2 linked regions of the Rattus norvegicus genome follow. The protein of the gene in region 2 binds, or shares a complex with, the protein of the main gene of each other region. Links are inferred from orthologs where the notes say so. Each region holds a gene or a part of one and is shown on either strand. Other genes may lie near its edges. The genes, in order: Rhog and Dock5.

Evidence for each region.
Region 1: the proteins of Dock5 (region 2) and Rhog are in contact, whole or in part, in a cryo-EM structure (PDB 8XM7), measured with the Homo sapiens proteins. The link is inferred for Rattus norvegicus from reciprocal best matches to the Homo sapiens genes DOCK5 and RHOG. Residues at the interface, in NP_079216.4 of Homo sapiens: Val232, Phe345, Asn393, His394, Lys395, Gly396, Trp400; in NP_001656.2 of Homo sapiens: Ala121, Pro123, Leu126, Arg127, Arg128, Lys130.

The regions. Positions count from the first base shown.
Region 1 is NC_086019.1:166,037,093-166,045,578, forward strand, and holds the start of Rhog (rho-related GTP-binding protein RhoG), read right to left. Parts: upstream 5,110-8,486; 5' UTR 5,084-5,109; intron 5,043-5,083; exon of another isoform or gene 4,788-5,042; intron 2,756-4,787; exon of another isoform or gene 2,660-2,755; intron 1-2,659.
Region 2 is NC_086033.1:46,182,682-46,190,367, forward strand, and holds part of Dock5 (dedicator of cytokinesis protein 5), read right to left. Parts: intron 7,616-7,686; coding exon 7,461-7,615; intron 6,175-7,460; coding exon 6,089-6,174; intron 3,549-6,088; coding exon 3,389-3,548; intron 2,542-3,388; coding exon 2,501-2,541; intron 1,868-2,500; coding exon 1,777-1,867; intron 1-1,776. UniProt on the Homo sapiens protein: Guanine nucleotide exchange factor (GEF) for Rho and Rac. GEF proteins activate small GTPases by exchanging bound GDP for free GTP. Along with DOCK1, mediates CRK/CRKL regulation of epithelial and endothelial cell spreading and migration on type IV collagen.

The sequences.
Region 1 (8,486 bases), on a different chromosome or scaffold from region 2:
ACCTACTGGATGATCTGTGGGCAGGAAAGCCCGTTTATGTGTAGAAGCCCGGCACAAGGCTGAACAGAAGTTGCAGAGTGACATACAACCCCCTCCCCCCAATCAATCCTGACATTGAGACTAGGAACAAGGAAAGCCTCTATGTCCAAGAGACACTGGACAAAGGTAGCCAACTTCTTCCTCGCTCAAGAGAAACAGAAAGTTAGGGTCGCACAAACTAGATTGCTCTGTCCTCGGCTAAGAGTAAGAAGTCAGGCAGTGGTAATTCAAAGGGGCTGAAGAAAATGGGAAGAAAAAATAGAAGACAGGCCAAGGATTAGATGGGAATAGCTGCAGACCTTTGGCCAAAGACAACCAGGCCAGGGACGGGGCACTGCAAGTTTGTTTGTTTGTTTGCTTGTTTGTTTGTAGGTAAAACAAGGAGGCTCACACTGGGGATGCAGCTGACTGCAGCTGGGCTGGGAGGAGGAAGCTGGGGGAGACATGAGGTCAGTGTGGGCCTGGGACCAGGCCAAGGGCTGAGGCTCTTTCTACCCCTTCTCAGCAGCAGCAGGGAAGAACCCAAGAGAACCCAGTTCCCAGTCTTAAAGAAGAGAAAGGGAAAGTCCTGAGGGCAGTGTAGTGGCACATGCCTTTAATCCCAGCACTCTGGAGACAGAGGCACTGCACTAAAACTCTTGAGTTCAAGGCTAGCTTGGTCTACAGAGTGAGTTCCAGGACAGCCAGGGCTACACAGAGAAACCCTGTCTGGAAAGGGGAAAAAAGAGGAAAAAAAAAAAAAAAAGCCCACACTGAAGGACTCTTCCCTTTTTGTCCTTTTCCACCTCTGGGATCCAGCACAGAGGAGTTTGGACTATGGTAGGTAGGGTAAGAGAGACTTGATGCTACTTTCTAGGGACTGACTACAGAGGAGGAAGAAACAAGGCATTGGAGCTGAGGGCACAGAGACTTGAGACAGCTTCACTAAGTCTGTCCCATGCTCATCCCAGCACCCAGGATGTTCCACAAAGGGTGAGCCCCAGAGACAGGACAGCTCCAGCTTGGGGAGCCAGGCCGCCCCTCCCCCACCCAGCCACACAGAGGAAGGCTCACACACTGGCTTATTTCTCCCTGCCTAGCAGCAGCTCAGCAACCTCTGGGTCTGTGAAGTGGCACTTCCTTTGCTCACTTCACATGAGGCTGGGAGTGCCAACCTTGCAATCCTGTCCCCTACCTTAAAAACAGAGAAACCCAGGGCTTCCTAGTCCTCTAAGTGTGCCACCCAAGGTCTGAGGGGGTTTCCACAAAGGGGAAAAAATAAACGGGGAGGAAACGCTACATCTATTTTCCACTGTTAGTGGGCACACAGCTGGGGCAGAGGGCAAGGTATACAGCCCATCCTGGAGTCCTGAGACAAGATCCCAGCATTACTGCCTTTTTATCTGTCCACCTACAGCAATCTTTGTACTTTGAATAAAGAGCGACAGTTCTAACCTGCTCAGATCAAGGCTGTTGAGACATGAAGGATGGGTCTGAGGCACTGAAAACGTAAGCCGTTTTTCTGAAACGGTCTTACTGTATGTCACCTTGGCTAGCCTGAAACTTGATATGCAGACCAGGTGGGCTTCTGCCTCCCAAGCACTGGGATTAAAGGTGTGTACCACCAGGTCTGGTTTGCAACTTAATGTTAAAATAGAGTCAAGAGATACTCAGTTGACCAGACTGATACAAAGACTTAGTTGCAAATTTAGGGTGAGGACCAGATCTAACCTCTGGCCTGATTGTCTCACAAAGCAGAAAAGGTGAAGACCTTTACTCTGAACTTTGACTTTAAGATGGCCCTAGCATGGTTTGCTTCTTTAAGTAATGGGTGAGAGGGCTAGAGAGATGGTTTAGTGGGATTAAGAGCACTTGTCCTTGCAGAGGACCCAGTTTTCATTCCCAGCACCCACAGGGTGACTCACAGGTCCATAGAGTTCCAGTTCCAGGGGATCTGACACCCTCCGTGGGCATCAGGCATGGATATGGTACACATACACATATGTAGGCAAAACACCCATACATAATATATATACAGAAATCTCAATAGATAAAGCAATGGGCCAAAGGAGTCAGGCTGAAATCCATCTGCATCCTTTTGCTTTTAAGCTATCCAGCCTCCCAGCCCCAGTGCAGCTTGTACTGCTCATGGTTTAGCATTAACAGTGTGCTACTGGACAGCCAGCTACCCTGGTCTTGTCCTAGCTGAGAAGCTCCTCCTTTGGTCTTTAGCTCCTAGGGACATGCCCTCCCCCCATGTGAGATGAGGACAAAAGAGGAAGCTGGACCCTGGACAGGAAAACCAGTCTGATCTGGGGAGGTGGCCCAGGCTTTGTCTTTGGTTTCCCTTCGAAGGTCCTCTCACAGACCCCTACAAACCTCACCTCTAATGGATCGACGCTACATGAAAGAAGAGGTTTTTCAGACTGTGCCCAGCACCCTTCTGTATTCTCTGTTCTCCAGCTACTATCACCCGTATCTTCACAGCTGCCCATATAACCACAGCCTTTTGTATCTTCTTGCTCATAGCCCCTCAATAGCTACTATCATCTGCCTTAACATCTTCCCTGAAGCGACTCTCCATAGCCCAGACTGCTAAGCAGGACGAGCAGCATCGTCACCCTACCACTTCTCATATTACCTTAACCATCCACAGCGTTTTCCTACTTAGATTCCTCCCATCCTGGTCACACTCTTCTTGCAATTAGCTCAAATTTCCAATGTGGCCAGATCTTGCCTAAGAGAAAAAAACCCTGTTACTGCCACCATTATCTCTGCTCTCGGAGCCTTGTGGGTTGCTTAGTTATACCAAATGCTAAACTCAGTACTGGTTTGTCAAGCTAAGAATCAGGGCTCCTGACGACTTTTATTGAGCTGTGATGCCAAGAAAATGTGCCGTATGCACATCCTTTCCCGAGCTGGGATTTAATACAGATCCCTTGGATTTCCTCCGTGGGGCCAAACCTCTGTACCTCCCAGAAATGAGAGTAGGAAAGACAGGTGGAGAAGGGCAGGCCCAGAGGAAGGAACAATTGATGGGAGAGGGACAACTGTGAGGTGGTAAGAGGATAGGAAAGGGAAGGAGCCTAGCTCTTAAATTTAGCTGTGCTCGACGATCCCCCAAATGTGACATTTGCTCTCCTCCACTTCTCTTTATTCTCATGGAGAGAAGAAGAGCAGTGGAGGCAGAGACAAACAAAATCTGAGCATGTAATCCAAAGGCTGAGGAGGGGCTCCAGAATGGAGACAAGCACTTACAGGGCCAGGACAGACTACGTTAGACTTTGGAGAAACCCCTCAGAGAGCGGGAATAGAGACCTTGGTAAGAAGAGAACATCACGGATGCTTAAAGACAGGAGGGTCAGTACAACTCCCAGTGAAGGCATTGACACACACCAGAAAATGTAGATACCCAATGTCTGCAGTCCCCACCGAGCAGCAGGGAGGAAGGACAAACACCCTTGCCTCGAAGCCCTTTCCTGATCAAAATTTTAAAAAAACAGTAGAGACTTAAGTTAGACTTGCTGCAGCTTTCCCTCCAGAATCTTGCCTTTGCCCCCTTCCTTTTCCTAGCAGACCAAATGGCCCAACACACTCTCCCCACTCCTTAGAATCAGTAAGTGCTAGGAGACTGGGAAGAATCAGGGTAGTTTGATTTCCCATGGACTTTCTAACTAGTCTTATTCTTGTGTCACTCAACTCTGGCTGCTACAGACTGCTTCCCCTGCCTAACCACAGTGTCACCCACCGCAGGTTCCCTTCATTCTGCCGGCTTCTGCTCTGGGACTTCTCAAGGCTGAGGGCAGATAGTTATTTTGTCTCTAAGAGATAAAGATGTTGACACACCAGAACTTGCATGTTCACGCGCGTGTGCACATGTTTCCAGCCCTTTAATCATCTCCATCCTTGGAAGGCTGCAGCCAGCATCTCCACTAAGCTAAAGAGGCTCGAAAAAGGCTCCTAAAGTCAGCAAGTCTAAAGCAGTTTCTGACACCAAAGTTAGAGTACAGACCAAGGAAAGGAGAAAGACTGAGGGCGGCAGGGAAGACAGAAACAAAATGGGGAGAGATGTGTGTGGCAGTCAGAGGATGGGAAGAGATGGAATGGGGAGAGAGCAGAGAACTGAGCAGAAAACAACAGGGCAGAGTAAATGTATCAGGGCCTGCATACATCAATGTGGCTGGGGGAAAAGAAACTGAAGGAGAATGTGGTAGACACGAAGGAGAGTGGAGGAAGACAGTATGTGGAATTCAGGTGAGGGAGACGTCTTAAGAGCTCTCAATCATTCCCCTAAGTCAGAACTCCAGCTGCTTCTCAAAGTCCCGTAAGTTGTCAGCGACTATCGGTATGGAGGCCCTTTCCTTCCTAGGTTTATCCGGAAAAAAAAAAAAAAAAAGCAAGGCCAGATTGAGTCAGATAGACACAACAGACGTGTTCACTAAATACCTGTTGTTGCATGGGATAGGAATAAAGAGGTTGGCTCAGAAAAAAACTGAGAGAGGGAATGGGGATTCCCCCACCTCATCCTCAGCAGCAACAGTGTAGCTATGGACTGGCTCCGACCTTCCCGGGTGAGACCTTTCTCTGCAGTCTCAGACTTCAGAGGCCCCAGACACCGCCCCCCAACCCCCACACCCCAGTCTCACAAATGTCACAACTGCAGAGCAGAGAGCGCGCCTTCTGCAGCCCAGAGGCCCTTTCCTTTCACACACTACTGAACAACCCCCCACAACTTCGGAGGGCACCCCACCGCAGAGTCCCAGCCTCACCAGCTCAGCGCTTTCCCACTTCCGAGCCTCTCACGGTTCGGATCTCAGGGGTCCCTCGCAGACAGCAGAAGCCCGCGCTGTCCCTGGGATCCCACACTCAACCCAGCCACCAGCGATCGGCTCGCGGTGGCCGCTGTCCCCGCCCGGCCTGCCGCGCCCGCCCAACTTGCAGTGAACGAAAACCTCCCGCCCTCGTCCTCCCTCCTGCAAACTCCCCGGCTCGTGGGTACTCAGTCCCGACCGGCTGAACTCTTCTTCCCAGGACCCCTGCCCACCAGGCCCGACCCTGGCCTCACCTGGTGCCCTCCCCGCGGCGGGGGAGCTGGGGGCGGCGGCGGCGGCTCTGGGCTCAAGAAGGAAGTGAGAGCTGGAGGCCGGAGGAAGTGGGGGGGTGGGGGACGGGCCGGCGGGGCCGGGGCGGGGCGCGGGGGCGGGCCGGCCCGGGCGGGGCGGACCAGGAAGTCCGCGGCCTCCCCCACCCTCCACAGCCTGGGGTCTTCTGTAAGCTTTGCCCGCCGCACAGTCCTGCACCCCCTGCTTCCCGCCACTCTTCTCCCTGAGACCCCTTGAGTGTGGCCTCTCAAGGTCAGGTCTCCCCACTTTCACTTGGCATCCCACCCTAGCAGGGGCCCTAAGCTAGGCGCAGGGCATTTGTTCTCTTCCTAGTATCTCACTCCCCGCCCCGCAACCTCCGCGGGAAGGCTGAGAAATGCCTTCCGCTCTGCCCGGGAATCTAGAGGTAGCCATGGCTGGCTAGGGATTAGCCGGAATGGGTCAGGCTGGGGCAGTCCCCACCCCTGCCCTGAGCCTTGGGAGAGTGCCGGGTGTTGGTGATTCAGCAGTGGGAAGGTTCCAGACCCCTGGGGAGGGTGGGGAGATAGAGGTGGGGGCAGGGCAGCTGCCGTCAGCACCCCGGGAAAAGACATGATCAGCAGAGATGCAGGCGGAGCCGCGCGGGCCCCCAAAACAGGATGTCGTGTCGTGGTTCCGCACCTCGCGGCTCCGCGGGGCCCTGGGGAGGGGGCGGGGCGTGGGAAGACGTGGGGCTCTTCTTGTTCCCTGATCTTGCCTTGGCGCGCGGCTGCTTGGAGCGGTAGGACCGCACCCAGGCTTGAGGTCCGGCCTGGGCCCTGGAGACAAGCGAGTGGGCGGCCTCGTGGGCGCCCTCTGGTGCTTCCAACCCAGGCCTTGGGCGCAGAATTTTACTGGAGAATCAACATTTTTTAAAGCAATTTTCTGGGTGCTCTACCAAGTGCAGAGCTCCGCAAGGTGCAGTGAAAACAGTTCGAGATAGACAACCCGTCTTACAGAGGCCCTCCAAATAAAGTGGATCGGGTCTGACAAATAGTTTAATGTTTCCAAGTATCTTTTTTTTTTTTTTTTGTAAAATCAACAAAAAATTCTCCATCCAGAGGATGTGGAGATAACAGAATAGGTGTCTATGCTGTGTTACTGTATAGAAAGTCAAATTCAGACAATCGAACTCAGGCTGGTCAGTGAGTGACTGAATGCGAGTTCTCAGATCCTCCAGAAGCCAGTTCTCATCGCTCAGGCAGTTTGTGGGCCCTTTTCTTCTTCTTCAGTCCACAGGCAAATTCCTCCCTATGAGGAGAGGAGAATAGGAGGGGCTAGAGGAAATTTGGGAGTGCAGAACAAGTGCTTGGTGTTTAATGGAAAGAGGTTTGTGAATCCCCCAAATAACAGGGTCACGTTCAAGTGGCTTCAATGAAGCCATTAAAAGTATGTTCCAAGCCAGGTGTGGTAGCACGTTTGTAGTCTCAGCATTACAGAGTTAGAGGCAGGAAGTTCAGAAGTTTAAGGCTAACCCGGGCTATATGAAACCTTACCTTAATAAAAAAAAAGTTCTCGAGTTCAAGGCCACCCTGGTCTACATTCCAGAACAGCCAGGAAACCCGGTTTCAAAAAAACAAACAAACAACAACAACAAACCAGAAACAAAATCCTGAAAAAATATTTGAAAATTAGGCTATCGCTCAGTGATAGAATGCGTGCTTGTCATGTGTTTAGGTCTGTACCCCAACACCACAAGCAATAGCTTGTTTATTTAGAATCAATTGAGGGGCACCGTGGTAGGAACAAGGTAGAAAGAACACTGGGTAAATAGATTGAGAGCTGGGCTGGCAGCTTAGGGTCACACTCTGCCGCCTGGGCTCTGAGTGTCTTGGGTTTGCCTTACCTTCGTCCAGGAGGGAGAACTTTCTTAGACATCTGTTTGATGGAATATAGAACTATTGCACCCGAAGCTTCCAGAGGAGGAGCTGAAATCCCAGGACTAAGACTGGAAAGGTTTTAGGCCATGCCCTTACCCATTTCTGAGTCTCAACTTCCCCCGACTGGTAAACAAGGTGTTGGGGCAGATGAGAGCCCCTTCAGCTCTGACCTTCTGCAATGCACTCCTGAGAATAATAATTAAGTAATTGAGGTTTATGCATATAGCACATTGCTCATGGTTCCTTAATATCACTTAGGTCATCCTGTTTTGAGTTCTAGTAAATTGTATCTGTGTCTAATGTCTGTCTCCTCTACCAACTGTTAAGTCCTTTGAGGTTGTGTCTGATTCATCTCTGTGTCCACCCACTGGGCCTGGCGCAGGCACGTCCGAGCATACACTTGTGTTCGGTAAACATCTGTGGAATGAAATTGCTTCAATAAATTACTAATATGTGTAGAGTCATCAGCATCCAGGTGATTCGGAACCACTTTTGTGTTACAGATGTGAGAAGGGTCAGTAAGGCCAAAAGAGGGGAGGTAGGCAGAGAGGTAGAGCCATCTGGAAAGGCTTCTTGGAAGAGGAGAATCTAAACTGGAGAAAGTTCACGCCATAGTCTTTTTCCTAGTCTTTCATGAGCTTTCAGGTGAGTTCATGCAAGTGGTACATGTCATATACTTATAGACAACTGAGGTACCCACAGGACCTGGGTATTTAGAAATAAGAGGACATAGGGAAGTTGTTTGTTTGTTTTTGTTGTTTGTTTCATGTGATTAGGCTCCCACGCCTGATGAACTGTGGCTGACCTTGAACACCAGTCTCTGCCTCTGAAAAGTTTTTTTGGGGCGTGGAGTGGGGTAGATTATCCATGATAGAATAGTTGTTAGAATTCAAATCCTGGTGGTGATGTATCTAAGGGCCTTTGACCAGTCACACGCTGTCTTGCATTCATCACTTCAATTCAGTGTGTGTGTGTGTGTGTGTGTGTGTGTGTGTGTGTGTGTGTGTGTGTAGGCCACAAGTTAAAGTCAGGTGTCTTCCCCAGTCACTTTCCACCTTCAGCTGGGCTAGACCGGATGGCTAGCAAGTCCAGGGGATCCTCCTGTCTGCTACTCCCAGGACTGGGATTGCAAGTCCACGCCATTGTGCTATGTATACTTGGGTGCCACAGAGATTTGAATTTGTCTTTATGCTTTCACAAGCACTTTACCATCTGAGTCATCTCTCCACAGCCCCCTCAGTGCATACTCATGTAGTCTGCTGGCTGCCCAGCATAATTTTACATTCCAACAATGAAGTGGAGAGGGCAGAAGACCCCGTTCTGATATTATTAGAAAAGAGAGACCTGGGGCTGGAGAGATGGCTCAGTGGTTAAGAGCACCTACTGCTCTTCTAGAGGTCCTGAGTTCAATTCCCAGCAACCACGTGGTGGCTCACAACCATCGGTAATGAGATCTGATGCCCTCTTC
Region 2 (7,686 bases):
CTTTGGTGGTGGTGTGAATTGGACCCGGTGTTTTATGCATGCTAGGTATGTGCACTCCAACTGAGCTGCACCCCAGCCCTATTTATATATTTCTAAATTTTTTGACACTTGAGGTCTCACTAAGTCTTTCAGGCTGGCCTTCAAGGCAGAATCCTCCAGCCTCGGCCTTCTCCCTACCAACTACAATTACAGGTCTATCTTGGCAAGCCCTGCAAAGTTAGTTCATTTCCCAGTTCCCTTTCCGATTCCTTCCCTTCTCTTCCCCTCTCCTCCTTGCCTTCCTCTCCTTTCTCCCCTTCTTTCTTGGGCCTGAAAGTAGGGGTGCGAGCATGCCAAGTGAGTGCTCCACTACTGACCTATACCCTGAGGGTCAAGTTATTTGAAATTCCAGGATTCTAAGGCCCAGATGGAAAAATACAAAGGAATGAGAAACAGCACTGGTGGGCATGGGGGCAATGAGGAGTAAATATGCCTGAGATAACATGCTGTACGGAATGGATCATAACAACAATGTAGCCTTAGTGCATGAACAGAGGTCCACATGCAGGGAGATTACTAGAACGGAATCTCCTCCCGCACAGAGATAAAGCTGGGATCTCAGGCCAGTGGATGAAATTCAGATTAGATTTAACAAATACCGTCTCTACTGAGTAGCTAGCTGGGAAGAAAAGCCGAATCCACACTTCTTACCTTACCCCATATCAGGACAACTTAATGTTCTTTTTCTTCACTTTTCAAATTTTTGGTAATTTCCCTATGAATTACGGCTCTCCCTGAACTTACCATCCCCCGTTCTCAGCTTTCTAAGTGCCAGAATTATAGGTTTGCACCACCATGGCTAGCTTGAGAGTTTAATTTTCTGGGCAGCAAAACTAGAAAGACCTACAGGGTTATCTCTGGGAACCATTCTCTGATATCATGGGTAGCAAACCGTACAGATGCAGAAAACCCCTCAGTATTCCAACCTCTCGGGGACTCCAGTGTTTAGCTGCTGAGAATGATGCACGGGTAGACTTTTAGAATCAAATCGAATCAAGATAAACTACCTGTTTTAAGAATGAAAGCAAGAGGTTTAGGGAGAGGCCAGTATAGTACTTCAGGGGGAGAATCAGGGGCCTGGACACGGATGGCAGCAAGGGCTTTTTTTTAAGTAGAAGATAGATTTAGGGCACATGCTATTCATGGAGAAGTAGAAGGCAGCAGCTAAAAGCGAAGGGTGGAATGTGGCTAGGCCCCTGGGCAGAAGGGGAGATCAGAAAGAGAAGGGGACGAGCAGAGTGGGGTCAAAGGCTTGTGGTTTGGACAGGTTGAGGCAGTCACTGATGCTTACACAGGAATCCAAAGGAGGACAGGGCTTCAAATAATTGCCTGGGATTTGGGACAAGCAAAAGCACTGATATCATGCCCCACTATAATTTTATTTGGAGAGGATGGATGGGTTATATAGGCGAGTCCTTCTCCCACCTCTCTACCATTTTACTAATCTCTTTACACATAATGAACATCTATTTAACTAATTAGAATGTCAACCCTCACAGAGGCTGCTGGGTTGTGCCCTGCTTTCCAAGGAGCTTTAAACATCAAATGATTATCTTCCCAGTCTTGGTCTGAAATGTGACCCTGTTTATCCAGAACACAGGAAGGCATTCCTAGATGACACACTATATCCCTTGAGTAAGCTTCTTTCTGGCCCATATCATGAACTTGATGGAATTCAGACCCAGAGGACTGAACACGTGGGATACCCCGTGGGTCTTTTACATAGGACCCATTTACCTGCAGAAGCTCCGCATGTAAGAGGAGTGTGTAGGCAGCTTCTGTGTAGTTCTCACAGTCTCTGTGCAAATCTCGAAGCTTGTATAAATACCTGATAAGACAGGAGAGAAGAGGCCCTTTGTCACCAAGGAGATGAACCAGTACTCAGCATTCTCCAGTTAGGCCGCAGCCTGCACATAACCTTCTGCTTCTAACAGGAACACCTCCCTTCTCTTAGGCAATAGACTCACCACCTCCTATTTCTCTAGCACATGGTACCTCTTCCTGCCCTGTGGTTTTCTTAGCTCTTCTGTTTTGTGTTCTTAATTATTATTATTATTATTATTATTATTATTATTATTATTATTATTATTTTATTGATCCTCTTTGGGATGTGAGGTAAAGCTTTAGAAATTCTATTAACAAGTTGACTTCATGGTCGGAGACTCATGACCCTCAAACCAAGGGGCCACTATGGGTTATTTCTCTTTTCTGTCCAGTTTAGTCTCTTCTATCCCTCCTTAAATGCTGATGACTCTCTTGATGCTATTACACACTCCCTCAAACCATATTTGTCTGTGCCTCTGTCTAGAGAGCTCAGCCTCTGAGGCAGACTGCACACATCCTGTATTTGCAGGAATCTATCTAGGCAGCAATGGTGCTTTTCGGGCAGTGTTTTCTGATTTAAAAATATACTGCAAACCCATGACACAGATAGCAAAACCAAGGCATTTCCTTCACTTACCGTATGTATATGTCCTCTCGCTTCTTTTCTTTATAGAAATTCTGCCAAAAAGAAGGTCACAAAATACCAACATAAATTAAAGGCTGTTGATGAACTTGACACAAAAATAGCCAAAGCATGACTGCTCCTTTAAGTGTTTGAGCGTGCGAGCATAGTTGCCATCAGAGGCCAGAGGAGGGCATCTGGAGCTGGATCTACAGGAGGTTGTGAGCCAACTGACACATGTGCTGGGAACCAAACTTGTGTGTCTTCTAGAAGAGCAGCACACAGTCTAAACCATGAAACAACTCTCTACCCCACCTGCTGCTTTTCCAAAAAGACATCGTCTCCCTTAAGAATTTCCTTTACAAATATGGGAAGCAATGGGCTATAAAGAACTAGAGAAATTAAGACCACACTTCTGAGAAATGTAAGAGATTTTCTATGGGAGCAGCAGGTGCTTGTCTTATTCTGAAGCCACCTGGTACACTTACGTCTCTGGCAGTCAGGGAGATGGGATGTTCTTGGTTTATATTAAGCAGAGGAATACATACATAGCAACCTAAACCTTGGAGGTCTGTGGTTCCAAGAAGAGGGAAGACTAGAGTTTTACTGTCAGGAGAATTGCACAGACTAAATCATTTCATGGCATAGGTTTCTGTGTGCTCCATTACAACGGGAAAATAAGTACATGTAAGACCAACAGCCAGGCTGAAGAAGTCTCTGGGAAAGGCTAGAGTGTCAAGATTGTTTCCAGGTACCTAAAAGTCTGTGCCTGCTATCTGTGAGTAGGGCATGAGCTCCTGCCCCAGGGTGACTGGGCATCTGTGCTATCAACTTAGAGCTGAGTTGGTGGAGCAGGGGTGGCTGAGCTGAGCCCACTCACAAGCCCAGGAACCAGGCCCTTACCAGAACGTTTACTGTACAGCTCATGCGGTTCTCCTTGCTTTCATCGTGCATGATGATGGTTCTGTAGTCCAGCAAGTTCTCTAGGAGGCTGCTTACCAGAAGCGCAAAGACTTCCCCAGAGCTCGAGAGGTATTTATGTTTCCGGCAATGCTCTAAGAGTCTGGAGTGGGGAGAGAAAATTTCTGTGGCTCACCTAGCTGCTGTGGGCCCCAACCAAGTCCAAGCAGCAAGAGGCTCTAAAGATAATAGACATCCCCTGTGGAACCCAAGGTGCCCTCCCTCAGAATTTCAATAGGACTCATATTAGACCTACTATTTTCTTAGGTTCAACTCTTTTTTGGGAACACAGTCAATTCCCATCAATTGTTTAGAACTCCAGGTCACAATGTTGTTCTGAACTCTAGCTAGTCAAAAATTTCTTTAGTGAACATTGCAGAAATGAGAGCCCTTGCCTACAGTGTTCATACACCCCTCAGCAATATGGCTTTGTTCTTCCAAGGGCCTGGCATTGAACAGATGGTCGGAAAAATCCCAGGTAGAAGCCAGGACTAGAGGAACTTAGTAGACATTTGGATAGGTCTTCAGATAGAAAGGCAGAACTGGGAGACAGACTGGAGCTACACCTCAGATCCAGCCCTCCCCTTTTGGGGACATAGAGAGCAAAGTTGTGGAGCTTCTTCAGTAACTAAAAGAAAATTCAGAAATTGTTATGCATCTAAAGAATCAACCCAGACATGGGACTGGAGAGATGGCCCAGTGGTTAAAAGTGTAGACTGTTCTTGCAGAGAACCTGAGTTTGGTTCTTCAGCACCCCTGTTGGGCAGCCCATAACCTCTTGTAACTACAGCTCTGGAGGATCTGATACCCTCCTTAGAAGGTACCTGCACTCATGAGCACATCCATATATTCTCTCTCTCTCTCTCTCTCTCTCTCTCTCTCTCTCTCTCTCTCTCTAGTAAATATAAATATATAATAATTAGCCCAGATTCTAGGGGTATTTTTAGGTGTTGGAATTGATGTAGTTATATTTTTCTGAGCCAAGGATCCAGAAAGAATAAGGGAAACAAAGTAAGATCTCTCCATGAAGGTGTTGGGATTTTTTTTAATGTGTATTCTATCTTGTGTTGTGTTGTGTTTGTGTGTGTGTGTGTGTGTGTGTGTGTGTGTGTGTGTGTGTGTGTGTGTGTGTGTGTGTGTTGGGAGGGTTCTACTGATGAGCTATATGTCAACAGATCTTTTCAAAAGCAAGAATCACACTTTGCAGAACTGGCTGGCCTGGAACTCACCATGTAGACCAGGCTGACTCTGAACTCATAGAGATTCTCTAACCTCTGCCTCCAGGGTGCTGGGATCAGGTTCCACCACGCCCAACTACCCCCAAATCTTACATCTGTTTCTATCTCTGTGTAACTTCCAGACAAATCCAGGATTTCAAAAGCTATAAGCTAGGAGCGTTTGAAGGTATGAGACCTCACGGAAAAAGGATAGAAAGATCACTTTATTCCATCTGTAAACAGAACAAAGACATTCAATTCTTGAGCTCAGTGTTTTGGCTCCTACTCAGGATATCATTAAGAGATATGATCAAAGTTTGTGGACTCTATATTTGCGTTCAGACTGGTTCAACAAAGTTTCCCCAGAATAGGAGAATAACCAGTTTACATGACACAATGTGTGACCTAGGTGGCCGGTTGTCAAAGTTCAGACAGCATGAGAAACCAATGTGAATAGCCATCTACACAATGGGATGAGAAGACAATAATTACAGTCAATCTTAAAAATAACAACAAAAAATGCATATCATCTCCTGTGTATGTGTGTGGATACAGGTACATGTTGCAGCACATGTGTAGAGGACCTCAGGAGCTGGTTTTCTCCTTCTACTGTGTGGGCCTCAGGGATCGAGTTCAGGCTGTCAAGTTCCCTGGCTGGCAGAGCCACACTGCCCACCTGTAGTCAAACTTTTTAAAGTGTGAACTGTGCAAGCCACACTCTGTTGGCATACTGCCTCACTTACTCCTGAGAATAGGAGTAGAGAGTAGACACTACTCTTACACATGGAGGTGGGGTGGGGTGCTTGATCTGAAAGACTGACTCACTGGCTGCAAAGACAAGATCCAAGAACGTGGTGAAAAGAGGGTTTGTACTTATTCCTGCCAGTCTAGTAGCCGGACACTTGCACCACACAACAGCCCTGTGGGCAGCACGAAAGGACGGATTGTGCAGAGGCTGAGTAGGGGAGGCAGCAGACGAAGTGACATTGTGGGCTCAGAGATGTTGTCTTCAAGGAGTGCAGCACCCCAGCTGGCTGAGAGACAACTTTTCTGTTCTCATAGTTCTTTGATGGCATGCAAGGTATTTTTAAGTTTAAAGTCAATCTTAACTTCCTTTAAACGGCTGCTTTGAAGTCACAATTAGAGGTGCCCCACTTCTGCTCAAGTTCATAATTAAGACACCAGGCAGGATGCCATTGCTGCGTGTGTCACCTCCTAGCTCCCCTCTGCTATGATCCCCAGGGCCAGGCTGGTTAGAGAACCCCAGCATGGACTCCCATTGGTTAAGCACTACCTGCTGTGTATATTCCATCCACACCACCAAGGACCAGTTGGTGACTGGTGACTTTGAACCTGCCAACCCACTGCTGGGTGGACAGTTGCTTCTGTCTACCTCTGGCCTGAGGTGCTGTTCTGAGATACTCACAGCTTTTCCAGAAGAACCTTGTATTGTTCATCTCCTCGGCCACCTTCTACTTCCTGATCCAGCTTTGTGATCAACTCATTCTCAAACTGAAATGGAAGACATTTCACAGGAGGATGTCAGATCCTGAGAAGAGGGCACGGTAGGCAGAGGCCATTGTTTCCAGATCTGGCTCGACCCCTTTCCGATTTCGAGCTGCTCCCAAAGAGCATGGGGTTATCTGTAACGCCCCTGCTAACAGTGCTCCACAATGCATCAAAAAATCACAAAGCAGGTGATTTACATTTACATTACTTTACATTTAACAGTCCTGAAAGCTTATTTCATTTACTACTATGGATATAAAATAAATTCATAACCACTGTTCCCTTTGTACTTGATACTGCATAGTCCTATCTGGCCAGAAACTTATGACAATTCTCCTGCCTCAGATTCTTAAGAACTAGGACTATAGCTATACATCACTATCCTGGGCTTCTATCTTATTTTTGTTTCTTGTCTGAGTATTGGTAATGGGATTATTTTTGCTCCACATCATAGCTACAAAGCCTTCCTTTCAATACTAATAGATCTGTAGATGTTATAGATGTGAAACCTGCACATTGTTCATTTGGATAGGTCTGTAAAGGTATACGAGGGGAATACTGTCCCCAAGAGTGGTCAGGCAGTCAGATGGGAAAAGCTGTTTGCCTGCTGTTGCCCCTTCTGGTGAGTGCATCTACCCTACCGCTGTCAACACTTCCTACTGTTGCCGCCAGTGCCACCATCTTTGCTGTATATGGGACCCAGTGTCTTTGACCTTCCAACTTGGACTGAAGACCAGAGGCTCTTCAGGAATCCTCCAGGCCTTTGGCTCTAGATCAGGAGTGCTGAGGCACCCAGCCTTAGGGGCTGAGCAGCCAAGGAGTCTCAGCTTCTCTGGAGTTCAGACAGCCATTGTTGGACTATCCAGCCTGTGCTGTGTAAGCCAATGTAATAAATATGTTTTGCGGTCTGTACTCAGCACACCCCTTCTGTTCCTCTCTGACTACTGCCATATATGGTAAGCCTAGAGAAAGTGCAGGCTAACTAAAGCTCTCAAAGGTAAGCAGGGATGCCTGGGAGCTGGGCCTGCATCACCCTTCCCTCAGCTGGCCACACAGGTTCCACCCTCAGTTCTGGAGTCAGATGTATCAGGCCAACTTTTCATCTTCTAGCTTCTGGGCCAGAAGACCCAATCATATGTCTAACTTTTTTTTTTTTTTTACACAATGAAATGTACAAAATAAATTTTAAAATGTGTTTTTCATTGAAGCCGCTGCCTCTTCATTGGGAGATATGGTGGCAAAAGGTTACTTGTCACATGGTAGTGAGGTCAGGGCCGTCCCCTCCTTACCATGTGGAAGTTGCCATTTCCACTCAAATTGAACTCGCACTGCATCATGTCAAAGAAAATGGGGATGGTGGCCTTACGGAGCTCCACTTCAGGGGTTAAAGTGACTTCCAGGATGGGGCCCACCATGGATGGGATGAATTTGATTTTGTGTGGTCCTGGAAAGAAAGCATATTAGAATACTCCATCACTCTCTGTCTCATGTAACCAATCTTCCTCCACAGGGGCC